Linked DNA regions of Nothobranchius furzeri. The protein of the gene in region 3 binds, or shares a complex with, the protein of the main gene of each other region. Links are inferred from orthologs where the notes say so. Each region holds a gene or a part of one and is shown on either strand. Other genes may lie near its edges. The genes, in order: taf7, gtf2b and gtf2h3.

Region 1 (9,670 bases), on a different chromosome or scaffold from region 3:
TGGCTTGAGACTGCCCCCTGCTGGTCACTTCTCAATCAGCGAGTCCAGCTGCTCCTGCAGGGAAGCCAGCTGTGAAAACACAAGACAGAAAATGTGACTGAGGTCCACAACTCAAGGTTATTGTACATGTAAAAAATCTTTAACAATTCATAATGAAATGTCTGCCTTCTTCTTAAACACACTCACCCAACAGTGTCTAAGCAAAACCCACAAAACAGCAAAAAAGCATTCTCATAAGTGGAATTAAGAATACTAAATGTTTTTAAAAACCAGAAACCTCAATGAAATCAACAAGCTCAAACTGACAACCTCACAAAGCTGCAAGAAGTAAAAAAATAAATACAAAAATATCACAATGGCACAGATTATTGGCAGTTACATACCTGCTCCATCTCCCGCTCCTCCTGCTGAATAATCTCATCCAGCAAGGCCTGGAAACGGTTCTGCAACCAGCAAGAGACAAAAAAAGGTTTGTACGAGTGGACACGCCGAGCCTCTTTAAACTGTGATGCCTTTAAATGTGCGTCTGCAGAGGCCTGCTCGTGTCGCTGCTTCCTCTCCGACAGAAGGGCCACTTAGAATGCCAGTAAGAGACAGCTGACCTTTTCCATGCCACTGTGATAATAACAACTAGTGATCAGGCTTTAATGGTCCCAAAGCACTATGAATTGAGAGCTCTAAATGGCAACATATAAAAAGGGTCACGTCTGCTCATGTTCGCCTCAGTGTAAAGTCTTCACCAAAGTGCAGCTGGCTGAAGATGCAGATCTTGTTCAGAGTTTTTCCTGCACATTGAGATTTAAACTGGAATTAGCTAGGGAGAAGATATGATATTTAAATGAATCAAATATATGAAAAAATATGTGCAATCAGTTATTTTTAATGCAGAATGTATATTGCATCAAGATTTTTGCATTCCAGCTCATTAGCTAATTTGCAATATTTTTATGTGTGTGTGCAGGGTCCGAAATTAAATTTTTTACTCACCGGCCAAGTTGGCCGGTAGATGATGAAAATCTACCAGCCAAGCATATTTTTTACCGGCCAAAATTCTAAATGATTTAGATCCACCTAAAGCATGTTATTCTATATTATGTTGATTCCAGACGGAGTGACAAAATAATTAAAACATCAATTAATAAGAAAAACAACTCTTTTGTCATTTTTACTATTTATTTATTTTTAGAGATGTTTTTATGAACTCTTTCATTGAAATCTAGTCAGACTCCTTGTTTTCTCTGTCCATGAAGTCTGGCCTCCTGCTTCTGACACCGTCTTTGTGCCAAAGCATTACAGCCTCATTTGGGTCATAGTCACTTCAATTCAATTCAATTCAAGTTTATTTATATAGCGCCAAATCACGACAAGAGTCGTCTCAAGGCACTTCACATAATAAACATTCCAATTCACAGTTCATTAAGCCAATCAGAAATAGTTTCCTATATAAGGAACCCAGCAAATTGCATCAAGTCACTGACTAGTGTCAGTGACTTTACAGCAATCCTCATACTAAGCAAGCATGCAGCGACAGTAGAGAGGAAAACTCCCTTTTAACAGGAAGAAATCTCCAGAGAATCCTGGCTCAGTATAAGCAGCCATCCTCCACGACTCACTGGGGATCGAGAAGACAGAGCAGGCGCGCGCGCGCGCACACACACACACACACACACACACACACACACACACACACACACACACACACACACACACACACACACACACACACACACACACACACACAATAATGTGTCTATAGTTCTATTGTGATGTCTTAGTAAATATTATGTTTGGTGAGATCAACTTTATTGTATTTATCCTAGTGGATCTCTAATTAAATGGGTAAACTAGCAGTAACACGTCCAACGTCAAGGAAAGCAAAAAGTTATTATCAGGAGAAGGAGAATGTTTAAGTGGATAGCAGCAGTGTGCTAGACAGCCCCCTCCATGAGGGCCAAGAGGTCCTTGATCTCTGGAGAACACAGCTGCACCATGAGAATATCTGAAAGTGTCAGGGCTAGGGTTGTCACGGTAACCAGTGTAGCAGTAAACCCCGGTAAAAAAGTAGACAATAATAATAACCGTCTTGTTTTAAAAAATATATATATTATCTCGGTGGATTACCGTGGCTGCGGTGTAGGCGCGGTGACCCTTACCAGCCACCGTATCATCTGCTGGAAGTTACCGGCGGCACATGCGCGCTTTGTTGTTTACGACCAAAACTTTCTTGAAGCCAAAGCTGAAATAATGGCAGGAGGAGACGGCAGCACTTGGGACATTTATTATCCCTCAAAGAAGACAAAGTGGGAAGTACGGGCATTTTTTGGATATTTGAAGAATGCCGAGGGACAGTTGATAGAAGACGGCTATCCTGTTTGCAGCACGTGCAGAAAAAAAGTGTCTGTGAAAGGCAGCAACGCTACGTGGCCATCATAATGTAGCCATTGTCTCACGACTCCGCCATCTCCAGTTCGCCACTTTTCACAAAATCTGGTTGCCACTGGTCCTGGTGGTTTTTCTTCCAGTTCGACGAGTTTTCTTTTGGAAGGCTGGCTGACTCCAGTTAAAAACCGCCACATTTCACCGCTAGTTTTAACACGAAGCTAACTGCTAACTTGATAAACTGATTGAATGGGATAGGTGGAAATGACATTGGATGCGGCGCTCACGTTTCGCGCACGTTTGTGTACGTTGCATGCAGGCGGGAGGAGTATCACAGAAATCCATGGAAGATGACTGATAAACATAACTAATTTGGTGCAAACATTTACTCGCCAGGTGGCAGATAGAGCTCAAAAATTTACTCGCCAAATGGAGCAATTTGCTCGCATTTGGCGAGTGGCGAGTGTTAATTTCGGACCCTGTGTGTGTGTTTTAGTGATTTCATGCAATTCAGGAGCAAAAAGAAAGCATTGGCCACTTACTTTCAGGGCCTGGTTTTCCACCTTCATGATGAGCTCTTCCTGTTGTTTCTTGCGGGCAAGAGTTTCCTGAAGCTTGGCCTTTATGTTGTTAATCTGCACCTGGTACTCCATAACTGCAGAAAACAGCAGGAGGCCAACGTGTTAAAAAAGGTCCTAAAACAACTCAGAAAAAAACAATGGTCTGGCATCGCTTGATGCAACTAAACAACTCTGGAGAACAATGCATGCATGACTGCAGATTAAGTAAATTAAACCTTCTAGGGAACGATTGGTCTGTTTAACGGATGATGCACCAGCAGCAGTGACGCATTATGAGACAATTAAATCAGTTTGCTGTAGGTTCAACAAAGAGAGTTACAATTAATTCAATTCAACTGATTCCCACTAACCTGTAGCTGCACTGGCTCCATATTTTTCTAACTAATTGCATCCATTCACTGCTTATTTCCACTGGTGCTCAATTTTCCAATGCAGTTGCTGTATTGTGCTAAATTAAGCAGCAAGGGGCCCTTGCTGCACCATTTATTACAAGCCTGCACAGCAGCTGGAATCATGGCAAACCATTCTGCAACATATTGGAAAACGCTCTGCCTGGATGCTGGTCTGCAGCTGACCAGTGGAGTTGCTGACTGACAGCTTCACGTATGCAGATAAGGAGGCCCGGCGCTGTCAGACCGGACAGCTGTCTGAGCTGCATGCCGCGCTGCAACACCTGTCAGCCTGGTTGGTTAAGGAGGAGAGCTGAGAGCTGTCAGTGTGTTCGTCTGCAGGGTGCAGCAGCATGCGCGTTTACGGGGAAGCCAGGCTATTTCTTTGACTGTGTGTGATGTCTGACCTAGAAAGCTCACTTCTTATTAAAAGTTCAAACACTTGGTTCCGTTTATTTTTTACATCTGCTTCGACAAGTACCTAGGGGTGATCTGATTTAATTTAATGTCTGACTTTCTTCCAAAGTCCAACCTTGTTGCTGTGACCACTCTGACAAAAAAATTAACAACCAAGTTGGCTAAGAGATTGAACATTTACCCTGAGGTGTGAGTTGCAAGCACAGCATGAAAGATTGCATAATCCAACACAGCACTTGCTTCATTCAGCTAGGTATGTAGGTTATTTGGAAGTAAAGAGATTCAAATTTGAGTCTGCACTTTACGTGCAGACGTTTCCTGGAACCTGCAACCTGAAAATGTTTAAACAGGTAAATGAAAATGATAATTTACAGACCAGGGGCCTCATTTATAAAGCTTGCTTGCACAGAAAACAAGGTTTGAAAACTGCATAAGTGACTTTCCATGCAAACGTGACTTATTCAGAAAAACTTGACAGAATAATTGTGCGCAAATTCAAGCAAACACTGGACCTGGCGTGAGTACGCTTTGGACACAGGAAACCTGGCCATGATACAGAAAGCAGAAACTGCGTGCAGCTGTGAGTGAGCAGAGTATTATAGGTCGTAGTAAACTAGTTTGCGTGAGTAATTTATTCTTTACTGAGCTTAAGTAGGGTTTTGGTAAGGATTCTATGCAAAGTTTTATAAACGAGGCCCACATTGCATTTTAGAAAAAGGTTAAACAGCTTTAAAGTGTGAGATTATTCTCCCCCACACTGCTGACCTTGTGATGAACAACGACCAAACTTCTAATTCTCACCTATCTGGTTGTTTCTGTCGCTTTCATGCTGAGCAGAATCCGACTCGTTGAGCTTTTCCTGGAGCTGTCGCACTAGATCATCCTCTGTGTCCATGATATTCAGGTCCTCGTCTTCATGCCGGTCCCCTTCGTCCTCCTCTTCCTCACTTGAGCTGCTGATGTCGTTGAAGATCTCCCTCAGCTCGTCGCGCGGGACTGGCCGTGCAGAGCACAACGGTGTTATTAACAACAACACACAGACAAGACACGCTGAAACTCTGAAAACTAAGATGGCTTTGAATTCCCTTGGAGACACCAAAGTTTATAAAAAGATAACATTTTTGGTCTGTTGGTCATTGACGGAAAACATCCTGGAGTCCAAACATCCAGAATAATCTTCTCTGATCTCTAAACCCAAACCTTGACTGTTTGGGCGTTTTGTAAAAACTGACATGAAGATCATCATGTTTTATTAATTTCCTTTTTAATAAAAAAAAATATCTCAGCACAAATAAAATCACAAAATAAGGTGTTTTTCATTTTAAAGGCCATTAAAAAAAACTTGTAACATTTAAAATTTGTCAAAAGTTTCTTAAGTGGACAGTCTAAATTGAAAAGGCTACAAACTGTAAGCAGCACTGGTAAAGTATATGGAAGCAACTAAGGAAGTGTATTGGTGAAATGATGGTGATACGATAAGAATCACGATACGGGGAGGCGATACGATATATCCCGATATATTGCGATACATTCAGTCAGACGATATCAGCGATTTTTTTAGGCTGAATTTATTGTAGGAAAATTCAATAAACAGTCAAAACTGATACTTATCATGTTTAACATGAGGTATCTGACCCATGATAGAGGGATTTACAATTCAATGGTGGAAACAGAACCCATTGTACACTGCTGCCAACTAGTGGTCGGCATTTGATTTGCACCAAAAGAAAAGTTAATACACACGTTTGCATGTAAATTCTTCCAAAAATTAGATACACAGCTTTTGAATATCGATATATCGCAGGAAAAAAGATCACGATATATTGCTATATCAATATTTTCTTACATCCCTAGAAGCAACATATGACTGAATGCGTCTATAAGCAAACAATACATGCATACGAATGTATAAAGATCTGATCTATGCTAGCTTTTCCTGAGGGACTAAAGCAGAAATTCAGGCTTTTCGTCCTTTCAGGATTTATGTATGGTTTTATAGAAAGCAGTCACAATCAGAGTCTTAATCTGTACCCCAGATTTGTCAACAAAGTCCATACCAGCTGTTCATCAAACAGAACGTGTATTTACATTTACCTGAGGACCCGTGACCCTTATGTCCTGAAGTACCAGGTGAAGAGTCCAGATTAGCCAGAGACCCATGCTGGTCTGCTTCTTTGGACTCATCCTCTGCTATAATTTCCCATCCTGAACATCTTGAGTTAGGGCCAATCTTTAAAAAAATCCAACACTAAAATACCTCAAATCCTGTGAGATGAACCTAAATAAGCTCTTCTATGAATCACACCTGAGGGACAACATTTAGCAACAAAAACATAAACAGAATCTAGTTTCTCTGTGACCAAACAATAATGAACCGACCGTCTCAATAACACACAGCAAGCAGCCAGACAAAGCCGCTCCGCTGTGCTCTTATTCTGTCAGAAATGTTCAGGGTTTCATTAGAGCTCTAATAGCTTCTTTTCACACAGTGTCTGCCTCACAAAAGCATCACACGGAGCCAGATAAAGAGAGCTGGGTGGGACGGAGTCTGCTGGGTCTTGGATTAAATGTGAGATATTAAATTCTGTGTACATCACAGTTAAGTTTGAGATTGTCAGGTTTTCACCACAGCCTCGACAGAGACTACTGTCATACATAATACTGCTGAGCACTGTTTTCTGCTCATCCTCTCAGGACATTGGGGGGGGGGGGGGTTGAGGTGTGGACCAAGCTCTGGTATTTATTCAATGTCTGAATATTCCAAATTCATCCGAGATCAATGCAAGCTCTGACATTCTTCTTTGTTGTTTTCCTATTGTCCAATAAGGTCCTTAGCAATAGCTTGGGCTAGTGTTGTTCTGCGGTTAGCATTACCGTGACCAACGTTTATATATTAGTGATGCTGAAGTGGGATGGAACATGTAAATTTAAGGGGTGTGTCCTGCTTATGACATGTTAACCAGCTTTTCTCAGAACACACCATTTCCCCGCAGGCATTACAACATCACTAATGTACATGTGAAAGCAGATCAGAGACGGTGTAGGTACCAGATCTACTCAGGGTGCCCGATGTGCTCAGGGGCCTGCCGATGACATCGCACTACAGCAATGCCTCTCGGACAAAATACATTGCACATCTTTTTCGATACTGTTCTTCCAGACATAGGTTTTGGAAAGAGTTTAGCAGATTTGTTATTAAATATTTTTTTCTTTATAACTAACTTGTTAATGAAACACCATATTTCCTGTTTTGCAAAACATGTGAAACTACATGAAATCAGCATCAAACTGTCCCAAGAACCTCTCAACAATTCTAATGTGATTTTTTATGCAGTTACTGAAGCTGTTTACATAAATGTGGACTTTTTCTGTATACATCGTTAGTTCTTACATTTTATACTTGCTATTTGTTCAGTTAAGTTCTTAACTAACTAAATTTTGTTAGCCTGCCCTGCCAGACTCGTCCTCTGTTCTACACAGTAAACAGGTCTGGTTACTCACAGGCAGAGAGGCACATGAGAGGCAGGACTAGCCAACTCAAAAATAACCAATCAGAAAAAAAGGCGGAAATGATGACTGTAACGCGCGACGCTGAAGTTTTTTTTTTTAGCTGTAGTCAAAAATGGCTTCTGGCGACAGCGCAAAGATCTTTCTTTAGAAGAAAGTCTTTTAGCTCTTCTACAGCGAACTCCGCTTCAGAAGCCGTCTTCGTTGTTTATGAGAAACTCATCGTTACGGTGTGTTTCGTACGCTGCTCAGCACTGATTTGCTTGGTTCGAATTCTCCGGGGGGGGGGGTCATTTGAATAGGAGAGTTCCCAGCTAGCTGGTCAGGCTACAATTTCGCCCCATTTCATCAAAGCTGTTTTTTGCTTTTATTTCAATTTCCTTTTGGCAATATAAACATATTCGCCCCATAAACCTAATTTCTAAAACTTTTGTATAAACATCTCCATGGTCTCTTTTTGTCTTTACAGCTGTATTGTTTCCAAACAACCCTTTTAGTTTGCTGGACGGTAACAGGTTAGGGAGATTTTCATGATGTTTTGTACTGTGGGAGTCGAAAAGGATACGAACGCTGACAGCATCAGCATCTGTACTCAGTAATCTCTTCACTTCCTTTTCCACATCAGGAGATTCAATGTACTGCAAAACAAACAGAGTTCAGGTTACTTCTTAACCACACAAACACACATGCAAACACACACACACACACCCTCACAAAAAACTGTTGGATCCAAGCCAGGAAGTACTTTTGTGATTAAAAACATGAAGAGCCAAATCAATATTGCTCAGCACCTTCAGGAAGATCTATTCAAAAGACAAAGTAAAAGTGTCACACTCAAGCTTGTTCACTTTCACTCTGATCAAAGCAGTAGTGAAATTGCCTTTTTGCATGCCTTTGGAGGAAAGATGGAACACTTTATATGTTAATCTTGGTTTTCACTTTCACCACAGAGGCTGTTTTATGAAAAGTACATTTGGAGCAGAGCTTAAGAAATATATGAATCATCAAACAATATGCCAAAGAAACAGCAGGGCAATGGGGAAGAGGGTGGGATTTTAAAAATGTCTACCTTCTTTTTGGCTGTTTTCCGAAATCGTCGCTTGCGCGTGTTCTTCAGTGGGCAGGTTACTGACGACCAAAACAAAAGAGTTAGCAAAGTGAAAATGATTCAATCAGCTGAGGAGGCAAAGTCTGCATCCACAACTGCTGACATGTGACTTTTTCTTTAGAACAAATTATTAAAAATTCAGTTATGCAGAGATATTCATCAGCTTACTGCCATGATTCCAAATGAATTTCTTGTCCTTGTCTTTATCTTTCTTTTTGCTCTTGGGGTCGGTGCCAGTTGGCTCCTCCAGCGGAGGAAAAAGGTCTCCATCTAGTGTACACACCAGCATCTAAATAAAAATAAAAATAATAGACTGGTCAATTGTCGTTGTTGTTTGTTTTGTTTTTGCCCGTGTGTTTGTGGAGTTAAAATTTTGTGTTTCTAAAATTGTAGGAGGGGTTTGGAAATCCATAATCTTATGCTTCTACCTTCCCCCTACTCAAAATAGTTCTGATTTATTTTAGTTGTTTTTTTACAGTGCATATAGGTTTGAGCATGCATTTTCCATTTTATTTCTAATAAGTGCAAACATTAAATCATAGAGTGGTGGTTTACCTGGCAGACATCAGCAGTCTTGTAAAACGTTTTCTTATCTACAGTTTTCAGAGACTCAATCATACAAGGTAAGTCCACCAGTTTGCAGGCCAAAGGAACACGGTCCACTCTCACTATTCCGTGGCGACCATCAGCTGTAAATGAAAGAAGCAAATGATTGAGATTTGTTGTAAGTTGCTGAAGTATCGACAGCTGGTGTCACTGATGGGCTGTACTAAAGACCAGAAAAGACAAGATTACTAAAGAATTACCAAACCACATATAAAAATCTACAAACACACTTCTCACACACAGGCCAGTTTTATGACTACTGATCTTACGGTGCAACTCGATGGTAAGTCTGTCTTTTATGTTCATACTCCCAGATTGTGCAATTCTTCTTACTGTTGAAGCATACTCCTGCAAAATAAACAGAATAAAGTAAATGAACACATCATTTTAAACTCCAAGTCAAAGTGGATTTCACCGAGTGGTCATACCGAAGGAAGTCTCAGGACAAACTGGCTTTCCAGCTCATAGGGAGCATCTTCTTTGCTCTTTGAGCCAACCTTTCCCACTAGAACCAAAACACATGACAGTAAAAACACAGAACAAATGATCCAATATATTTTCAACTGGAGAGCATTGAAATAATCGGCTGCCTCTTTGGGGCTTGAACTAAAATTGCAAACATATAAAAATAGACTAAAATCACCCACAGCATGTTGGCATAAAGACAGAATGCCTAATGCTTG
Region 2 (10,285 bases), on a different chromosome or scaffold from region 3:
CACACATCTAAAGCTGCTGCTGCATCTCTGAAGGAGAGCAGGGTGAAGGTGATGAACGGCCAAGTCTGTCTCCTGATCTGAACCCAGTCCAACACCTGTGGGGAATTCTGAAGCAGCAGGTTGAACATCACTCTCCATCCAGCATCCAGGCTCTAAGAGGTTCTTCTTGAAGAATGGAAAAGATAGAAGTTGCAATATGTCGCCAACTTGTTCATTCAGTGCCTAGAAGACTTGGTGCTGTCCCTGAAAATCACGGTGGTCATACAAAGTACCAGATGATGTGGTTTTTGTTGTGGGGTGGATTCATCTTTGCTTCCAACACTTTTAGTAAAACTGAAGAATTTGTGATCCAAGTTATATTATTAACCTTAATTTCATGTTATGGAGTTAACACGTGTTCAATAAAACCGGCCTTGTTAAAGTCTGGAAACGGTTCTTTTGTTACTTTTTAAAGGGGATGTACTCATTTATGTAGAGCGCTGTACAATAATAAGAAACGTGTTAATATTAGGAATTAGGGCAATCATTCGAAAATTTATCGTTATCAAAATTTCTGATTCTTATCGTGAAAATTTTTCAAATCTCAATAAATTAGATAGTAAAAAACTGAAAAGATGTGTGTAGGTTGGCAACGTTCATGTCGCTTTAAGAAGCTGTACCACCTTGAGTCATGTAAAAATGTGACTTCACACAGGTGACAGCCCCATCTAGTGGACAGCTGTTGTTTCTGCACATACCTGTAGCTATCGTCCGGTTATCGTTATGGACTAGCCTGGCAGGCCAGACTAAACAAATGTATTATGTAGTCTGGCCACGATCCATTGACGGCTCTCGGTTGTGGGGCGGGTTCTACCGTTGTCTTTCAAATGATCTCCGCATTCCACTGGACAATGAATGTGACATACTCTTGTTTCACTCTGTTGCATCATCCCACCCACCAGGCATATAGAGTGCCCTGATTGGCCCACAAAGCGGATAAAGCTCTGTGATTTGTTCACTAAGCAGATAGAGCACTATGATTGGCCCCACCATTATGGACCAATCACAGCTCTTTATGTGTTTGAAACCCCTCTAGAGAGCTGTGATTGGCTAGCCAGAGTCCTGGTAGGAGCTGCGGAGGTTCCAGTGGAGCATTCCTAGACCAAACTTTGCAAAGCAAGAATTTGGTCTAGTTCACTAGGCTAGTTATGGAGGTGATGTCCTCAACATATCGTGATAATGATTTTAGGCCATATCGCCCTACCCTACTAGGAATAAATGTAAAAGTTTCCTTGTTGCTCATATTTTTAAATGGCTTACTCCGTGTGCGGCTGTTTTCAGCGACAGGGATTGCACAGCACTAGACTAGAACAGAAAGCAGATCATACTGCGATTCAAGGAGACAGAACCGGACATTTGCAACCACAGAAGCTCATCCAGTGTGATAAATATGCTACAAACTTGGCATTTTTGCTGTCTGTAGACCATTTATTGGTTCTTGGCTGGCTTAGCTGACTTGCTGCAGCGAACTGAGCAGGGTCAGTGTTTTTGTTAAGGTGGGGCATCAGTGTTGAACGCAGCACCACCTTTTCCACCTCGTTAAATGCCAAGTTTGCACTCATTACACGTTTATTTCACTCCCTTTGCTGTTCATCCAAAAACACATCCAAATTACAAACATGTCCTTCCCCCAGAGGTGACAAGTGTGACCTATGTTAGCTAAATGCTATATGGTATGGTGCGTCAATTCACAGACCACCTTAAAATGTGGGACTTGTGGTGTTGTTGTCTCTGAAACAAAGAATGCAGATTTAAATTTAAAACTAAGCCCTTGTTCTCCGGTTTAAAAACATCATCTAAAGTAATGTTTGTCGTTTTATATGGTTAAATCCGACTTTCCCAACTGATTCTGATTTCCTGAAAACCACACGATCAAAAATCTGGTCTGATCATGATTTACAGGAACTCGGATGGGAGCATCTCTACTGACAGCTGTGCAAATCTGCTGTTGCTTTTAGACGACGTTTTCTTTTGTTTGTGTTTTATTCACCAACTCGTCTCAACGAGACATTCAGCTCCAAAAGCAGCCCAACGGTTCAAATAACAGCAACAAGAGCAGAGAACACAACCCTCACAAACGTCTGACACAGCGTATAAACCCACCGTGAGGGACTGGTCTCATCCCAGTAGGTCGGTGGAGATTACCTAGTATGTGTAAAACTGCCCTTTAGTCGTGTAAACCCAGAAACGAGCTCAAACATTTCAAACTAACTGGTGTTTACTCAGGAGTTTGACTCATCTGCAGCTGACAGGAAACCACAAGGAGACGGTTTTCACTGAAACATCTCAGATATTATAATAATAATAATAATAATAGTCTTTGAAGATGTAAACACTCACCAACAACAAGGCCACATTCAGGACAGATCATGTCTCCTGCTCTGTAGTCCTCCACCAGTATGGCATCAGGGTGGTTGGGGCACGTAACCCTGGGCAGGGTCAGACCTTCACCGCTGTGAAAGCCAATAGGGATATATTTATGTGTGTTAATTACATAAATTACAAATCAACAAGGTGAACATAAACCTTTGACCTGCTAAATGAGGCTTGTAGGGTCTGAGATGGAGCTCTTGGGTTGTTTGTACTTCTGAGCTCAGGATGAACCACAGATTAAGGTTCTGCATTTATAACTCATCTTAATCTCTGTGGAATGAGCTAGTAAATAGTTTGGAGATAACCTTTAACCTTTCCCAGCAACAGAAGGTTTTGGGCGTCACTATTCCAAGCAGATCCCCTTGTACCCGGGAACGACGCAAGGCCAAAAATGAGCGGGAACCAAAGGAGTAGGAAGGAGTTTAATGGGATGGACCGGGGGGGGGGGGGGGGTTGGAAATCTGATAAATCTGTTTTAGGTAAATATGTAGGTCAACCTCACTGAAAAAAATACATTCAATGATTATTTCTGATTCTAACGGGTCACTCTGAGTGTTTCATGCAGGCTGAACATGAAAATAGTCTCCTACACCCATCTCCTGCATTCGCTTCTGATAGAAAACAGACGGTGGAACTCTAGGATATGAAAAGCCTGACAGACGAGACTTGGGGCGTAAGGCAAACCCCAGAAAGACTAGAAAATAACTTTATAGCAAGTTCACTAACATTCTGTTTATTGATCGGGGACTAATGAGCCAACCAGAAGGGGCGGAGACTTAGGCTCCCCATTAGCCGGATCCAGGTTTGATTACTGGCCAGCGTGGACGTGTTAATGATAAAAAAGCTGTTAATAACATGAACGTAGGATATATGATCTTATTCCTATGGGTAGAGATGTGTAAACAGATTTAATACAAGACTAAAGCTGTGAATATTCAGTCTGAACTGATCCGACTCTCATCAGAATATTTTAAACTACATCAGCCAACAATGCTGACCAACAATCAGAACTATCTGTTTGTTTGTGACTGAATGAAAAAATACATCATTCACTCACAACAACAGCTGGAACTACGTTATTATTCAGACGGACAAAACTGCTGTCTAGATGCACCAGAATGCAGAGTTCAACACTTACTTTTCTAGTATGTCTAAGGAAGCATGAACAGCATGGCCGTGCTGCCCAGCTCTACTTGTAATGGGATTACATAAATGTAACTGTGTTCACTTAATATTACATTCAGATCTTCCTCTCATCAGCCACTAAAATCATCTCACTCTTCACTGTCTCACCCTCAGCAGGTCTGGTGCTGCCTGTCTCACCCTCAGCAGGTCTGGTGCTGCCTGTCTCACCCTCAGCAGGTCTAGCTCTCCCCGTCTCACCCTCAGCAGGTCTGGTGCTGCCTGTCTCACCCTCAGCAGGTCTGGCTCTCCCTGTCTCACCCTCAGCAGGTCTGGCTCTTCCTGTCTCACCCTCAGCAGGTCTGGCTCTCCCCGTCTCACCCTCAGCAGGTCTGGTGCTGCCTGTCTCACCCTCAGCAGGTCTGGCTCTCCCCATCTCACCCTCAGCAGGTCTGGTGCTGCCTGTCTCACCCTCAGCAGGTCTGGCTCTCCCTGTCTCACCCTCAGCAAGTCTGGCTCTCCCAGTCTCACCCTCAGCAGGTCTGGTGCTCCCTGTCTCACCCTCAGCAGGTCTGGTGCTCCCTGTCTCACCCTCAGCAGATCAGATGGTATGAAAGTTGTTATAAACTGCTGCGTCTCATTGGTCTGGCTTAGTAACACAATCGAGAAATGGTTTTGTGGATTTAGACTGATTTACCTAGGAACTGTTGAAAAAAAAAGTCCCTTAATTTTGGAATAAAATCCTAATAAAAAAGATCTGATTGTGTGAAATGTGTTAACACTGTTGTGTCTTGTAAATGTAGTTTAGTAACACAAGTCAGAAGTTATTTTGAGTCATTTAGCAAATTATTCTGGAAGCTTTTAATTGTTTGTACTCGTTTACAAAGGACTACAAATTTGTTGATAGTCCCTAAGGGAACCACCGTTCCCATTAGCGAGTCCGCGGAACCCAGGTTACCGCTGTCTGTGCCGCCGTGCACGGCATGAAGACTCATCTCTGACCGTGTAAACCGATGTCTGTCGAACATCCAACTTCAGGCTAACTTCACCGCGGTGCTCAGGGACCTAGTAGCAGTGCCCGCCCTGGGACTGGGTTCACATCTCGGTCGGGTCACAGCAAAGACTTGAGACCCACTGCCTCCCTGCTTGATACTCAGATAGATTGGGGGGGGGGTCAAACCACCAAATGGTTCCCAAGCGCGGCTGTGTCTGCAGCCCACAGTTCCCCCAGGGATGGGTGAAATGCGGAGAACAAATGTCAACTAGTGGAACTTTAACTTTAAACTTTGAGAGCCGAGGGAGCCGATGGTAACGATGATAATCGCTGTAAACATCCAACGTGGCTAAGATTTGTTTACAAACGTCCAGACTGACTCGGAGCTACGCTGGTTACTTATTCACCATGGCACGAGCCTTCTCCGCACGCGAACCGACGCAGAGGAGCTTCAAACAGAAACGAAACTAAAGGGATCCGCACGGAGCTGCGAGGCGCAGCGGCGACACAAGCAGAGATTTCTGGTAGCATCTGACGTTCTCCAGCAAGCTAACTGCCACCAGACCACAACTAACCCTAAACGCGTTACATCCACAACAGCAGACCAGCGTCGTCTGTTAAAAACACTCTTGTACACATTCTTCAACTTCTCACGTTCTCGGAACTTCAACTAGAGAACAAACATGTTTTGCAGAGTTGGTCCAACTGGTTACGCACCGGCTCGTCGACGCCATGTTCTTCCTTTCTCTTCAGTCAGAGAAACAAATGATCCAGTCACCTCTATATAAATACTCGGGTCACGTGTCACTAAAACTACGGAAAGCACAAGAGTCAAAACTAAATCAAATTCTTTTGTTTGGGACGTGGAACCTGTTGGGTTTTCGGGCTTCAAAATAAAATTGTGGCAAGGCTGTAGATACCAGGGGGATGAACTCCTTCCGTTTGTTAGGAGAATGTAAACTAGTAACTCGTAATCAGGAATCTGACCCTTCAAGGGTCCCCACATGATAGAAGAAGAAGAATAATTTTTATTTATTTATTTAGTAAATTTAAAAACAAACATGGCACTTTGACAATGTTAAGTCCAAAACTTAAATTCAAAAGGAGCAGTTAAAATAACATTTGTAAATATCCAGTAAAAAGACAACAACAAGAGACAAAAGAACATGAAGAACAAGTAGAGTACAGCATTTATCATACAGAATTAGGAAATCACTTTGGAAGTTCAGCTAACATGTTATATAGATTTTCGTTATATTTGTTGAGATGTTTCAGGGATTTTAAATATAATTGAAATTCTATTAAGAACATTGAAGACAGTGGATGATTGTAAAATTCGTTGTTTATGGATAAAAATTTGGCTAAACAGAGGATGATATTATAGCAGTTCTTTATCTTTATTATTGAATATAATTCCAAATATTATCATATCTTTAGTGATGTGAACTGGGAGTGGTTTGATCCACACCTCTAGCTTTTTCCAGAACAATTGTGATTTCTGACATTCATAAAATATATGATCTATAGTTTCTATGTGGTTTTTGCAAAAAGAGCAGTTGTTGCTATCAATATTAAAACGAGCTCTTAACAACTCTTTTGAAGGATAGATTGCATTCATTATTTTAAAGTGGGTTTCTTTAGCTTTCGGTGGTATAGGTAATTTTAGGTAGATAGTTCTTATTTTCTCAACAGACGTTTTATCAGATGTGTAAATTATGTTATTTTTGTTTGTTTTTCCAGGAAAAAGAGATTCATTTAAGGGTGATCTTATTGTAAGATCGTTGCATTTTCTGTCAGTTAACAGAAGACCTTTAATAGATAAGATAGGAAGGATTGGAATACGGATTCCCAAAGTGTGGTGCGTGCGCGAGCTGCCGCTAGGAGGTGCGCGAGCTGCCGCTAGGGGGTGCGCGAGCTGCCGCTAGGAGGTGCGCGAGCTGCCGCTAGGGGGTGCGCTAGGTGAAAAGTGTAATGGCTGTGGAGCTCAGAGAAGTCTGTCATATGTCACCATTAGCGTAGCCAGAAACTCATTTGTGGGTGGGCCTAAGAAAAAGTAAGTGGGCCCAATAAATGTAATTGAAAACAAGTATATTTTTGCGCGCGCGTGTCCTCCACATGTGCCCTAGCTTCATAATAACAATGCGCCGAGCTTCAGCGCTCTGGCCTGCGCACGCCGATATGTTCCGTATTTGATCATTTTTAACGGTGTTGGAGAAATCTGAAGGTGGTGAGTCATTCTGGCAGATTGTAATTAACACCTGTCTCATGCAGGTGTTCTGACACCTGCATGAGACAGATATATATATATATATATATATATATATATATACACATATATATATATATATATACATATATACATATATGTATATATATATATATATATATATATATATATATATATATATATATATATATATATATATATATACATATATGTATATATGTATGTATATATATATATATATATATATATATATATATATATACATATATATATATATATATATACATATATACATATATGTATATATATATATATATATATATATATATATATATATACATATATATACATATATATATATATATATATAACGGTGTTGGAGGGTTAGGGTGATAAGGAGGAGTGGTCCAACTGAACAGGAAGTAGTACAGGATGCGGGACAGAAGAAGGCCAACTGAAGAGACGTCTCAGAATGTGAAAGTCCTCCGTGGGGGAGTTTGACTTTGAGTGGACCTGAAACCAGCTTACAAATATAACGATCACATGGGTTTGGCTGTCTTGTGTTTGACTGAGATATGTAACTGACAAATAATCACATTGTTTTGCTGTCTTGTGATAAAAAGATGTATGTAACTGACAAATGATTACATTGTTTAGGCTGTCTCTTGACTGGTTGAGATATTGCTTCACTATGGAAAATGTTTGGCTTGGCAGTTTTTTAGAATGATATAAAAAGAGCAGTTAGAGACAGACAGAGCATAGGGAGTAAGAGAGTAGAGGTCGTTGACGAGAGGAGTGAGAGCGTGTGAGAGTTAGTGTGTGACAGTTAGAGTTGACACAAGTCGACGAGGTATCACCAACAGGTGCAGGAAGAGAGAGCAGTTATTCTCAGGAAGATTTTTAGAAGCAGCATCCTCCTAAGGGGATTTTTAAATCTCAGATTTACTCTTGTTTGTATTTTTTAATTTTGAAATTAACTTTTTGGAAAAAGAGTCCTCATTCTCGATTCTTAAAGGTCTCTTTAGCCTTTGAGTTGGGAGCCCCGACCAGATCTAAAGGAGAGGTAAGCCACCTTAAACTGCTTGTTCCTGTGCTTCAGGACTTGTTTTCAGGTTGTGACAGGTTAAGAAAAGATACCTGAGGTAATGGGAGCTAGTCTCCTCTCCTCCCTAACGTAGCAGGACACCCTGAGGATTATAAATCAAAATGGTTAGTTGGTTCAAACAGGCTCTGTTCTGCACGTGTGAAAAAGTCTCTGTTTAGCGTGGGAAGGAACCATTTCAAAGGGTGGATTAATTAGATTAATTGATAAATCCATGTTAGCCTGATCAACTAACAGGAATCATTTTCTAATTACCATCGCCCACATATGCTGACAGAGGCGCAAATTAATCCTGATAGGACCCAAATAATAGTCAGCTGGATGGCCTCCAGTGAACTTCCGCCCTAGTATTTAAAACAATTAAATAACGGGAGATTTAAAAGGGAAGTGTGCTGTCACAGAAGAACAAGTACAGCAATCTCCATTCCACCTTAAAATAGAAAACGAGTTCTAATTAAGGAGTCCAAACCAGGGTCTGCACAATAAAACTCACCTGCGGCCTCAACCTCCCTGAAAAAGCAGCGTATTCTAAGGTTCTAACGGAACCGATAAAAGTACACGCTCGCTACACTAGGTTACAGAAATAAGCAGTGTTTTTCTCACCTTCCTCAATCCAGAAGAAGAAGAAGAAGAAAGTCCACTGATCTCAGGCTCAGGGGCAGAGTAGCCCTGCATTGAAGCCCTAGGCCCTCGGGCCAATGACTGTGTAATTACCTCGGACACGGGCCGGGCCGGGTGCCTTTATTTTTAATCAAATTCATAAAAAAATTGAAACACTAAACCACTCAAGAAAAGATTCCCATCTGAACATCTGAGCTGGACACTGCTCAGCGCAGCTCACTGTCAGACCCCTGACTGAAACGCAGCAGTAGAGCCCTGCGCGGGACTGTTTCCTTCATCCCGCTCCTGCCCGCTCCTGCTGAATTTCTGACCATTACCGCCCGCACCCGCAGCGTGCATGTCTACTCCCGCCCGCAACCGCAAAACTCGGAGAAATTATTACTTCACAATAAAAGAGATGTATTGAGTTTGCGTCCTCAACATGTCATTTTATAGGCTATACCAGGGGTCGGCAACCCGCGGCTCTTCCATCCATCTGATGCGGCTCTCTGTGCTTGTAAGATAATGACTGGATATTTAAATAAAATACTTTATATTTTACTGCATTAATTTTACATCTGTAAGCCAATTCTAAATGTAAAGATTGTCTGCGTAAACCTGAACAGGTCCAACCCGGTCTTACTGTGAGACCGGGTTGACGGGTCACGCTTGTGTGTAATCATAGGCGCTTCTGAGCTGAAGATGTGAGATTCTGGGATTCTCCTCAGACGGCTCCTGGATGTGTCGCCACATTGGAGACAGGAACAAGCACTATTCAGCCAAAGTTTCATCATCAGGGAACATTTTCTAAGTGACAAGTCTCTCTGAGAGTCAGGGTTTAGAAAACCCTCGCTTCAGTGGGAGGAACCTTCCCGCATGCGCTCTGGTTCTGCAACGCGCTCCAAGCCAATCTCCACATCTTCAGCTCGCTGTGCACATATGCGCTGAGCAGTGTCCAGCTCAGACGTTCAGATGGGAATCTTTTCTTGAGTGATTTAGCTACATCTGCGATGTGCGTAACGAAAAAAATGTCAGTTCGTCTGCATGCGTCGGGGTAATTCTTTCTATTCTTTCTTCGTCAAAATAAACGGTCAAATACGGGAACTGTCCGGTCAACACAAGCCCTGCTTTTGACTGTTTTGTTTTCTTGTGAAAATTGTTGGAAAGAGATCAAATTTAACTTGATTACCACCAGAGCCAGGCGCACTGCGCCGTCATCTCCGTGACGGTAAATGAGGGAAAAACAAATTGATCTGATCCTGCACGTCTTTTAACACATTGGTCAGGATTGACGCACTTTGTTTTCATTTAGTTGGTTAAAAAAAAGTCGGACTCAGGCTCGGGTCGGGCTGGGGCTCCACCCCCTCGGGCCGGGCCGGACACGGGCTCAGATTTTAGGCCCGTGCAGGGCTCTAGGGCAGAGGTCCAGAGTCTGGGGGCCACAGCAGCATTGGAGGCAGTCTCCACAATTGTGTCTGTGCTGAGGTTCATATAATGGTAAAGAATACAATTATGATAACCCAATAGTATAAGCAAAAGTCTGCATAGGAGTTACAACTGTTCTGAAAGTTGGACTTGGATGCAGTTTTTTGTCTCGCCACCTGTTTCCAGTTGACAAACTTGTCTTTTTTCATTAATATTTCTCATCAATATCAATTCTAAATATTCCTCTCAATGTAATTTTTAAATAGATAAACTGTGGTCGTCGTTCCATGGCAAGCCCCCACAATGCGGCTCTAAAATTGGTCTCAACCCGGAAGCACCAAAAATTGCAGTTCCACCCTCATCCACTAGGGGCTGGTGTCAGAAGCGAGCAAATCCTCATTGA
Region 3 (10,234 bases):
TTCTGTTTGTAAATAGTTGATGTTTTCAGGTCTGCAGAATGACCACAAAGCCATCATGGCAGAGATAGAGGAAGCCCTGCACAAGCTACATGCTCGAGAGAAAGCTAAGCGTGGTCAAGATGAGGTTGAGGAGGAAGCCATGGAGCAGCAGGTCACTCTCCCTCCTCCGTTTGCACGAGTGGATTCTGTGACCGAAGGCTCGCCTGCCTCTGGAGCTGTACAGTTTGTTTTTTTAAATATTTATTAAGGCATATTTTCTTAACAGTTTGAATTTGATAAATGTTTCTGTTCCTTTGATAGCAATTGTTTTCTTTCAAAGGGCCTCAGGCTGGGGGATGAAATCATCGAGTTTGGTTCTGTGAACACGGAGAATTTTCAGAACCTCCAAAACATTGCTGCTGTGGTGCAGCACAGCGAAGGAGTAAGTTTTTGTTACTTCTACTGATATTCCTCCGGTGGATATAATTCATATTTACCTTTACAGTGACTATCCGTCTCTCCTGATGCGTATTATTATGTGTTTCTTTTTCAGAAACCTCTTCGGGTCTCTGTGATCAGGTCTGGCCAAAAAGCTCAGATGAGCCTGACTCCACAGCGGTGGTCAGGCAGGGGCCTGCTGGGGTGAGTGCTTCAGAGACACAGCATATGAGGCAGATAATACAATAAAAACCCCAAACACTCATGGTACTTTTCATTTTTCTTCTGTGTTTAATGATAGAATTCTCTTTTGTACGCACAATAATTAGTGGTTTCATCATCATTTATATGGAAATCTTGTCTTTTTTTCCTTCACAGGTGTAACATCGTTCCAGTCCAGAGATAATCCACATCATCCTTTGCTGGATTGAAATCTTTCAATTCTTTGAATTTCATCCTGAATAAAAAAAAATCTGAGTGGCTATACACTGACATGTTTTTTTAGTATGAGTGGAAACTCTTAAGAACTGTCCAAAGAATGAGAGTGGTATAGATTATATAAACAAAGTGTTGCAGCACTTCTATTTACTTCTGTGGATGATTAACACACAGAATGTGACCTTTAATTAACAGTTCATCTGTTATGGCTAGCATTCAGCTCCGATAAAGGCATGATGTAGACACACTCCTAAGACCAAGCTGGGAGGATGCTGAGTGACCTAACATGAAGTCCATATTTATCTATCCTATGTGTTGGACTAATAAACAGCTCGAGATGTGAGAAAGTATTCCCCCCCCCCCCCCCCCCAATACCAAGTTTTACATTTTTGACAAATGTTTCAGGTCAGCAGATAACTTGATTAAATACAAAGTAATGTAGTTTTCAAAATGATTTAACTGATTAGTGGAAAAAAGTTATCCTGACCATCCTGGACCCGTGTGAAACAGTAACTGTCCACCTTGTTAAATCAACTATATTGTTAAAAAAGCTGAGACTGACTCCCCACACCTCAATTATACCAGGCTGATGGCATGGAGGCTATAAGATCTCAAAAAGCAACACATTGTGCTTCGTTCTAAAGAAATAACAAAGAACAACATCCAACGACCTCACTTGGTTAAAGTCGTGAAAAAAACATCTTGATCTCCCGGCAGTTTGGGGAAAATAATTTACTGTTGAGTTTTATTATTTAAAATCACAAAAATAGTTTCAAAACAGTTTTAATGAAAACAAAATAATCCAGACTTGTGAACAAATACTAAGACTGAGCTTAAAATGTAAGTTTAATGCACATTGTATTTTCTTCAAAAAAATCATTGCTCCTCTGGAGCAAAAATACTGATACTGTTTATGTGAATCAGTCACTCCTGTTGCCTTGAAGCTGAAAAAGAAAGCATCACGCTGGCAGCTTTGGTTTCTTCTTTTTGGGTTTAACCATCTGTGGTAGTTGGATTTTAAAGGCGGTCCTAAAAAACAAAGATTCTAAATCATATCTGTGCCAAAAAATGAGGAAAAACACTTGATATACATTTAAAAAATCCTTACGGATGCAACAACTTAGAATAATAACAGACTTACTCGCATGTTGTGCAAATAGGGCTGAAGTTGCAGAAAACTGGAAACAGAAGGAAATTCACCCACAAAAAACCCCCCAAAGAAAACGTTAAAACAACGTCTCCAATATTGCTTTGACACATTTGTTCTTTTAGACTCACTTGACAAGCAAACCGAGCACACGTAACCTATTTCTATGAGGGTACGGTGGCAGAAACAGGCGGCTCTGTAGTCCACGTGAGCAGGTGGCGGCAGCACCAGCAGCGAGCGCTGCTCCGAGTCGGGCAGGAACACCCACTTTTCACAAAACATAAAGATCATTACCTCAAAGTAAAACAACAACCACGCTCTTAGAAATATGCTCAGCAAACTTCTTTCCTCACCAGAAGATACTGAGCCAGCGCTACTTTTTGTGGTATTTTCAGGTACAGACCTCCAGTTATATCACAAGCCTAAAAACACACCACAAACATTTACTCATTCAGTCATTTTCTTAAGCATTTTACCTAGAGACAACTTAGTCAAATTCAAAGATACTTTATTAATCCCAGACGGAAATTAGTCACCACTAAGCTAACATGCATGTTTACATGCCAACTCCATGCATGAAGGCTGCAGCCAGGATTTGATCCTGCAACCTTCCTGCTGCTCCACCATGCAGCTCTAAATGAAATGAAAAACAAATGGAAAAAGGATGTAATGAAGTACCTGCTGAAGGAGCCCCGAGTCTGAATCCAACACACACGCATCTATCAGGATATTCTGGACACAAGTATTGAAACAAACCAAGTAAGTGTTAAAGACAGGTGTTAGATTAGCAGAGTGAGATACACAACTCCACCTGCTTTTGTGCAGCAAAGATCACATTCATGAAGTTCATGTACTGCAGGGCGCAGTCGTCAGCTGCTTTTATCACCTGTATCACAATTAAAACAGAAGATGAGCTCCAGCTCAGCAGGAAAAGTCAAGAGAGAAAGCAAAAGCTCACCAATATTCTTGATTTAATCTCCTGTGCAACTAAAAAAGAACAAAAAATAACTTATGCAGAGTGCTAAAATAACAAAACAAACTGTTTTAATTTGATAAGGGACATATGTTATTACCTCCCACCTCTTTTGAAATCCTGTTGATATCTGGATAGTTCTAGATGGAAGGAAATGTTACAGAACAATTCAATCACACCGAGCTCTGCAAAAAGAAATAAATCAGCCTTGACCAACAAAGTCCTGGTTGAATGAGAAATAAACTAATTATATAAGATGATTTTTAAAAGCTCCTCCTTGAACCGTCACCTTGGAAGAGTTTGAGTGCCCTATGATCCTAGGAGCTATGCTGTCTGGGGCACTTTGTGCCCCTGGTAGGGTCTCCCATGACAAATTGGTCTTAGGTGAAGGGTGAGACAAAGAACGGTTCAGAGGATCTTTCATGGATGTACAATCAAAGAGTCACCCGGCCCTGAGGGTTACCGGGGTCCCACCCTGGAGCCAGGCCTGGGGTTGGGGCCCGTGAGCGAGCGCCTGGTGGCCGGGCTTCCGCCCATGGGGCCCGGCCGGGCCCAGCCCGAACCGGATACATGGGCTCATCCAACTGTAGACCCACCACCCGCAGGAGCAACATGAAGGATCCGGTGCAGTGTGGATCGGGTGGCAGACCTGCCGGAGGAGCTGGTGGAGAAGGCCGGGGAGAGGACAGTTTGGAGCTCCCTAGTTGGGATGCTGCCCCCGCGACCCGGACCCAGATAAGCGGAGGAAGACGACGGTTTTTAAAAGGATACAGCACAGAGCTTTGGCAAGGGATCCAGCCAGAAGAGTATCAGTCGAATTTCCCGTCAATTCCGCTGCAAAAAAAAGTATTTAGTCATCTATTTACTCCAAATTCTTCCCTACGTCACACAGACTTGCACCTACTCTTGGACATGATATCCCTGATCTCTTCAGCGATGAGGTTGTTGGTGACAGATAGGAGCTCATATTTTCCATCCCTGCTGGAAGACGTATCATCGTTCCCTTTCAAACGTTTACTTGGATACAGGAAGTGACTGAGAGGAAGAAATGCAAATGGAATTTAACCTCTGGATGCATTTATGGACATTTCAATGTTGACCTTTTGTTAACCTACATGAACTTGTAGGTTAATTGGGATCTATCAAGCAAATGTAAAACAGTCAAGTTTTGCTCAAATCTGGAAACTATAGGAAAAGTTATTCCATGAAGTATAAAGTTACCTGTCCTGGCAGTGAGCAGCGATGACAGCCAGCTGGTTAGTCCTGGTCATAGCCATGTGTGCGTTTCCCATCACCATGACTGCATCCAGACACTTGGACAAAGTGAACTTTAAAAAAGAAAAAGAAAAAACAAACATAAATATATATATATATTTTTTCATCACTCCTCTAAATCCGAGACCATGGTCTTGAGTCAGGAAAGGATAGAATGCCTTCTCTGGGTCAGGGATGAGGTCCTGCCCCAAGTGGAGGAGTTTAAGTATCTCAGGTTCTTGTTTATGAGTGAGAGAAAGATGGATCAGGACACTGACAGGCGGATTGGTGCTGCATCTGCAGTGATGTGGGCATTGTGCCGATCTGTCGTGGTGAAGAGAGAGCTGAGCCGGAAGGCAAAGCTCTCGATTTACAGTCGATCTACGTCCCTACCCTCACCTCTGGTCACAAGCTTTAGGTAGTGACCGAAAGAACGAGATCATGGATACAAGCGGCCAAAATGAGTTTTCTCTGCTGGGTGTCTGGGCTCTCCCTTTGAGATAGGGTGAGAAGCTCAATCATCCAGGAGGGGCTCGAAGTAGATCCGCTGCTCCTCCCCATCGAGAGGAGCCAGTTTAGGTGGCTCAGGCATCTGGTTAGGATGCCTCCTGGTGAGGGTTTCTGGCAGGGATGTGAATCTTAGAGCAACTCACTATTTGATTCAATTCTGATTCTTGGGGTGCCGATTCGATTCTGGATTCTCAAATTAAATCGATTCACAATCAGTATTAACAAAGCATGTCAGCGCCAGGATGAACTACTTTGTTGTACAAGTTAGTTAAAGCTATGGGACATTTTTATTTGACTTTAAACTGGTCATGCTCCAAAAACGCAAATTTACAATGTAAAATAAAGTGATTCTAAAACTGTAAACAGAAACAATCTTTTGACCAAAAGGCAACATTTATTTTTGCTTACCTTGTAAAATATAACAAATCTGTAGTTACCTAACAGTAGCTTTGAAAGTAATATGGTCAAATACTTTTCAAGTATGTGTAGAAAAAGTTACATGAGTAATCCTGAGTACTCATTTATCAACTTAGAAAATAAATAAGAGAATATCTCAAATTTCTGAGTATGGAAAAAATTACATTCAAGTGCCCTCTTATCAGCAGATTCAAACATAAATCATCTCAATTTATGGGACCACAAAAGTAAACGGAGTACTGACTCTCCTATCAAAGATCAAAAAATTGCATCTCAAACCTGTAACATGCCAAATATTTGAGTTCTTGGAATCGATTCTGAATCTTTATAAATAAGAATCCCGATTCAGACTTGAATCGGGTTTTTTCAGCACCTCTAGTTTCTGGGTACGTCCAGACCCAGAACATGCTGGAGGGAATATGTCTCTCGGCTGGCCAGGGAATGCCTTAGGATTCCCCAGAGGAGCTGGGCCAAGTGGCTGGGAAGTGGAAGTCTGGGCCTCTCTGCTTGGGCTGCTGCCCCCACGACCCGACTCCGAATAAGCGGAAGAGAATGAATGGATGGATGGAATGTGTAATATGAGATGTTGGTAATCAAAGTATTTTTGTAATCCAACACATTTCTAAAGTAGTAACTGATGTAAATTATAGAAAAGATTCATTCAAATAATATTTGGTGACTCAAATAGGAGAGAAGAACTTATCCCATGTATTAGATCTTGTCACAATTATAAAATATCCTGATTTAATATTAATAAACCATAATCCGTTTGTCTGACTTAAAAAGATTATATATCCTTACTACATATTGTCAAAATGTGATTTTAGTGACACTGCATATAAATAAATAAATAGTCTGTCACCTCCGGCTCGCTCTGAGCATGCTGGCCCCACCAGATCGGATTCACGTCCACCACAACCACCAGGAGACTGATTTCTCCCTCTGAAGAAATGAATGTATAAAACACCATTCTGCAGACTTGAAACAACAGTAATATATTGCATCAAAAGAACGTAGTGAGACAATAAGCAAAACAAACCTGATGCCATCTCGAAAGTATTTAATCGAAACAAAAGAAACTAAAGTTTTTCTAACAGATTTTTCTGTTGATAACTTCCGTCCATGGTAGAAGACCGAACAAAAAGTGTTTAGGGAAAAAAGCTTTTTGTCGCCGCTAGATGTGCGTCATCACTGTGCGACGAGTTTCTTTTTCACTGCTACAAACCAGCGCAGTGCTGCCACCTGGACTGTTGTTTTGTTTGCCAAATATCACATCCATTGCAATAAGCGGAGGGGTACCAAGCCCTCATTTCCATGCTTCTTGAACGAATTTAAATTATTCTACTCTTCATTAAGTAAAATGGAAAAAATGCGAGAATTATCTCACGGCAAATAACTGAGAACTGTTTTGAGTTTCCTTTGTAAATCATGCTCCTTTGTTTTTTATGTTATTTTGCAGCACGAAGGTTGCAGGTTCGAAACTCGGCTGTGGTCTTTCTGCGTGGAGTTGCGTGTTCTCCCCATGCATGCGTGGGTTTCCTCCGGTTTCCCCCACAGATCACAACATGCCATATAGGTTATAAATTGTAATAGTCGCTTTGGATAAAAGCGTCTGCTAAATGAATAAACATAAACATTTTCCTTTTCTTTGATAAGCCCCTAGCCTGTTTTTAAGCTTACATCCTCCATGAGAGTTTGTACCTTAATGTCGTACCTTGTTCTGTTATGTCTTTGTTCAGGAATAATAATTAAAAAATAAATAAATAAACAAAGCAGTACACCGGTCACTGTTCACGTTAATCAATATGGCGGAGTCACCGGTAGGTGAAAAAATAAACAATATAAACATCTAAGAAAAAAAACCTGGACTGTGACTTTTTTGTGACATCACACCAACGCCACAAAATATTTTTTGTGGCGTTGGTGGAAAGTAGAAAACACAACTACTAAAATATGTACACAATAAATAACAAATGTATTTGTTGAGATCTAACAAAGTGGATAGGCATGTTTCTCTGAAACTGTACTTCACACACCTGTTCATGTTCGTAAAAAAAGTTCTTGACCCTAACTGAAGCAGCTGTTTCTCATTCGTTAATTAATTAAATGTATATTCTAACAAAATGCTTCTGTTTAACAGCAAGTATGCATCTGCATTTAAAAAAACTACAAAAACTAAACATTTTTGTAAAACTACTAAAGCTAATACAAAAGAAAAAAAAACAGACTTTATTTGGACATATTATAAAATCAATTTGCATAGGTATAACATTTTATTAAAACGATCAATTTCATAAATGGCCTGTACTATATAGCGCCATAGGGGTCTTTTTTTCCGTCTTGCTTTCTGGCATCTTTTTTCTGTTAAAGTCAACTTCTTTACAGTCAGATAAAATGACAAAAGATAACAATACATACAAACATGAAAAATAAATGAATAAAAAAAGGAATATAACCTCTCAAGGCACTTCACAACACAAGCAGTCATTCACATGCTGGTGGGGATGAGCTACAGTGTAGCCACAGCTGCCCTGGGGCGCACTGACAGAGGTGAGGCCTGTCATGCACTGGTGTCACTGGTCCCTCTGACCGATACCAGCAGGTAAGTCGGGTTAGGCGTCTTGCCCAAGGACACAACAGCAACATTCTCCAGTGGGAGCTGGGATCGAACCTACAACCTTCCGATTGCTGGACAATCCACTCTACCTCCTGAGCTGCTGCTGTTCCTGACTCAAATAAGTTCCATTGTATATCATGTAAAAAGCACAAAAGAAATCCCCTACATTTCTGATACAGTTAGCTCAAATGGGGTTTCGTACAATACCTCTAGCAATGGTGGCTGCACCCTGTTCACATAAAGTTTTGTTTTCATCCATCTGCTGGGATATTTTTCATTAAGCATTCATGGAAATGTCTGAAAATGATTAGCTAACAACCTTGCAAAGTCATTCAGGGCATAACATCTTAAATAAATTATCATTAATGTTTTTTAACTACTTTCTTTCTGTCTCACAGAAAGACCTTTTGTGTTCTTCATTCTTATAGATGAAAATATTGTTTATTTTTTAAAACAAAGTTTTTACTAAGGTATTTTTGCTTTATTATTCAGTAGTCACTGTATTCATCAACATCTTAATTCCTTGGGTTTGGAGTTTGGACATTAAGTGAGACAGTCCTGTATTTCTCCACTTGGTAAACATCTGACTCGATGGGCTTGCTGGAGTCATTCAGTGTTACGAATATGTTCCCACCAACTTCAGTGACTTTATGAACCCTCTGCTTGACACCTTTGGAGCACCAGTAAGTCCTTATCGGTTTGACTGTAGGATTCTCTACAGCTTGATAAAGTCCTTCTCCTTCTGCTAGCGTGATCTTGTATTTGTGCCAAGGACACACAATGCACAGGCGTCCATTAAACTCCTAATGAAAATGATAAGACAGTCTGTAAATAAATACAGTTTATATAAATAGGTAACACAGATATTTATTTATGAATTCCATATATATCTGTTGAATTCTATTATTCACAGAAAGCATCAGAAGACCCACCTCTATGTCTCCATTCTGTAATTCACCACCTGAATCTATCAGTGTAAAAAAAAGAAGGCATTATGCACAGAAATAGCCATTGCAAATAAATAAAACAATCACAGCCATAATGTTATCCACTTTGTCAACAAACACAAATGCTCGAAGCTTACGGTAGCAACGCCTGTCCATTGCATAAAGCTGCCCCTGGTGATACAAGACCAGAACATCTCTGCATCCATTCACCAATTTGGTCACACGTCCAGCCCTGACAATGTCCTCCTTCTTTCCAATAAAGTGCAAAGCAGGAGAGGAGGGTGAAGACACAAGAGACAAAGAGGAAGTGGATGACTGGGATGCCTCCTCTTCTGATAACATGTCGAACACTTATTAAATGTAGTTTTAGAAGGGAATAACTGAAATATTCATTCCTTTGTAAGGTGTTTTTCCACTCCTGCTCCTTGTCTGCAAGATCCTTGGCTTTTTTAAAATCCTAAATAAAAAAACATCAAGAAAAAATTTAACTTAAACAAAGTTTAAAAGAAGTATTTTGTTAAATTAGAAGGTTGCCATATGACCTTCTGCTGTTTCTTCCTCAGTACCTTCTCCTCATTCAGCTTTCTACCAATTCTGCCTTCCTGAGATCCACTGATTACCTTTCATATTCATTTTCATTTTCTCTTTTTCTTACATTTGTAATCAATTTTTTTCTTTTCCTTGTTTTACATATTTATATATTTTATTTTTCATTTTATATTCTTGTGAAGCACCTAGTGATTTTTATCTTGAGAAGTGCTATATAAAGGATCGTTTTTTCTTCTTCTAAAGGTAAAATAAAATGTGACAAATCAGTCTGAAATGGAAAATCAGTGGAAAGATTGTGACAAATGCTTGGAAAATTAGTGAACTCAACTAATATGAATTTTTTTTAAAACATCAGTTTCATTGAGGCTTTCTAGTCTCAGTTTCAGGTTATTGTTGAATTTATTCTGCTTCTTAAAAAAGTTAAGACACACTGGACATCATTGCAAGATTATGAACTAATTGTATCGTAGGTTATTTCTACAGTGAGTGAAATCTAACAAGTTAAGCTGTTTTTAACTAATAACTAAACTGACATATTTAGATTTTATGTCATGTCATGTAGTTTGTCAGATTTCCTCGATAAAACGTGTACAAGAGCTTGAAAACACAAAAATAAACAACAAATATTAACTTTATATATATTTATATATTATAAATCTACCTTTTACTTGCCCCTATGTGGCAGCAGGACTTCTGGGTAACGTCCGGCTTATCAGACACTAAACTCCGCTGGTGTTTTATCTTTATCAAGCAGACTTGCTAAATAACTTGGACAAATTTCAAATGACGAAACATAAACATCACTTTCAAATTTCAGGAAACCCTGTAGACGTAAATAAAAAATAACAGCTACGCTACTGGATACCCACGAAGAAGAATAATAGTGTGTTACATCAAATTTAGTCCTCGCTGAAACACGAAGCGGAAGTTGTTTCTGTTTCCACAGAGTTGAATATGAATTAGAA

What was found.
Region 1: gtf2h3 (region 3) and taf7 share a complex: the UniProt entries of both Homo sapiens proteins name them as parts of the TFIID-containing RNA polymerase II pre-initiation complex. The link is inferred for Nothobranchius furzeri from reciprocal best matches to the Homo sapiens genes GTF2H3 and TAF7.
Region 2: gtf2h3 (region 3) and gtf2b share a complex: the UniProt entries of both Homo sapiens proteins name them as parts of the TFIID-containing RNA polymerase II pre-initiation complex. The link is inferred for Nothobranchius furzeri from reciprocal best matches to the Homo sapiens genes GTF2H3 and GTF2B.

The regions. Positions count from the first base shown.
Region 1 is NC_091741.1:82,925,555-82,935,224, forward strand, and holds part of taf7 (transcription initiation factor TFIID subunit 7), read right to left. Parts: intron 9,493-9,670; coding exon 9,416-9,492; intron 9,336-9,415; coding exon 9,257-9,335; intron 9,071-9,256; coding exon 8,937-9,070; intron 8,671-8,936; coding exon 8,550-8,670; intron 8,402-8,549; coding exon 8,343-8,401; intron 7,912-8,342; coding exon 7,839-7,911; intron 5,972-7,838; coding exon 5,861-5,971; intron 4,763-5,860; coding exon 4,568-4,762; intron 3,035-4,567; coding exon 2,922-3,034; intron 786-2,921; coding exon of another isoform or gene 774-785; exon of another isoform or gene 465-773; intron 444-464; coding exon 384-443; intron 70-383; coding exon 25-69; 3' UTR 1-24. UniProt on the Homo sapiens protein: The TFIID basal transcription factor complex plays a major role in the initiation of RNA polymerase II (Pol II)-dependent transcription.
Region 2 is NC_091751.1:71,415,238-71,425,522, forward strand, and holds the start of gtf2b (transcription initiation factor IIB), read right to left. Parts: upstream 5,338-10,285; 5' UTR 5,263-5,337; coding exon 5,246-5,262; intron 2,493-5,245; coding exon 2,380-2,492; intron 1-2,379. UniProt on the Homo sapiens protein: General transcription factor that plays a role in transcription initiation by RNA polymerase II (Pol II). Involved in the pre-initiation complex (PIC) formation and Pol II recruitment at promoter DNA.
Region 3 is NC_091757.1:46,811,211-46,821,444, forward strand, and holds gtf2h3 (general transcription factor IIH subunit 3), read right to left. Parts: upstream 6,352-10,234; 5' UTR 6,206-6,351; coding exon 6,196-6,205; intron 6,099-6,195; coding exon 6,019-6,098; intron 4,304-6,018; coding exon 4,197-4,303; intron 4,011-4,196; coding exon 3,880-4,010; intron 3,810-3,879; coding exon 3,747-3,809; intron 3,106-3,746; coding exon 3,076-3,105; intron 2,990-3,075; coding exon 2,961-2,989; intron 2,889-2,960; coding exon 2,814-2,888; intron 2,735-2,813; coding exon 2,681-2,734; intron 2,425-2,680; coding exon 2,356-2,424; intron 2,270-2,355; coding exon 2,134-2,269; intron 2,034-2,133; coding exon 1,997-2,033; intron 1,885-1,996; coding exon 1,815-1,884; 3' UTR 1,684-1,814; downstream 1-1,683. Other genes in the region: psmd9 (26S proteasome non-ATPase regulatory subunit 9), read left to right, coding at 30-217, 320-421, 533-621, 796-823; Rieske domain-containing protein, read right to left, coding at 8,289-8,576, 8,706-8,740, 8,858-9,062. UniProt on the Homo sapiens protein: Component of the general transcription and DNA repair factor IIH (TFIIH) core complex, which is involved in general and transcription-coupled nucleotide excision repair (NER) of damaged DNA and, when complexed to CAK, in RNA transcription by RNA polymerase II.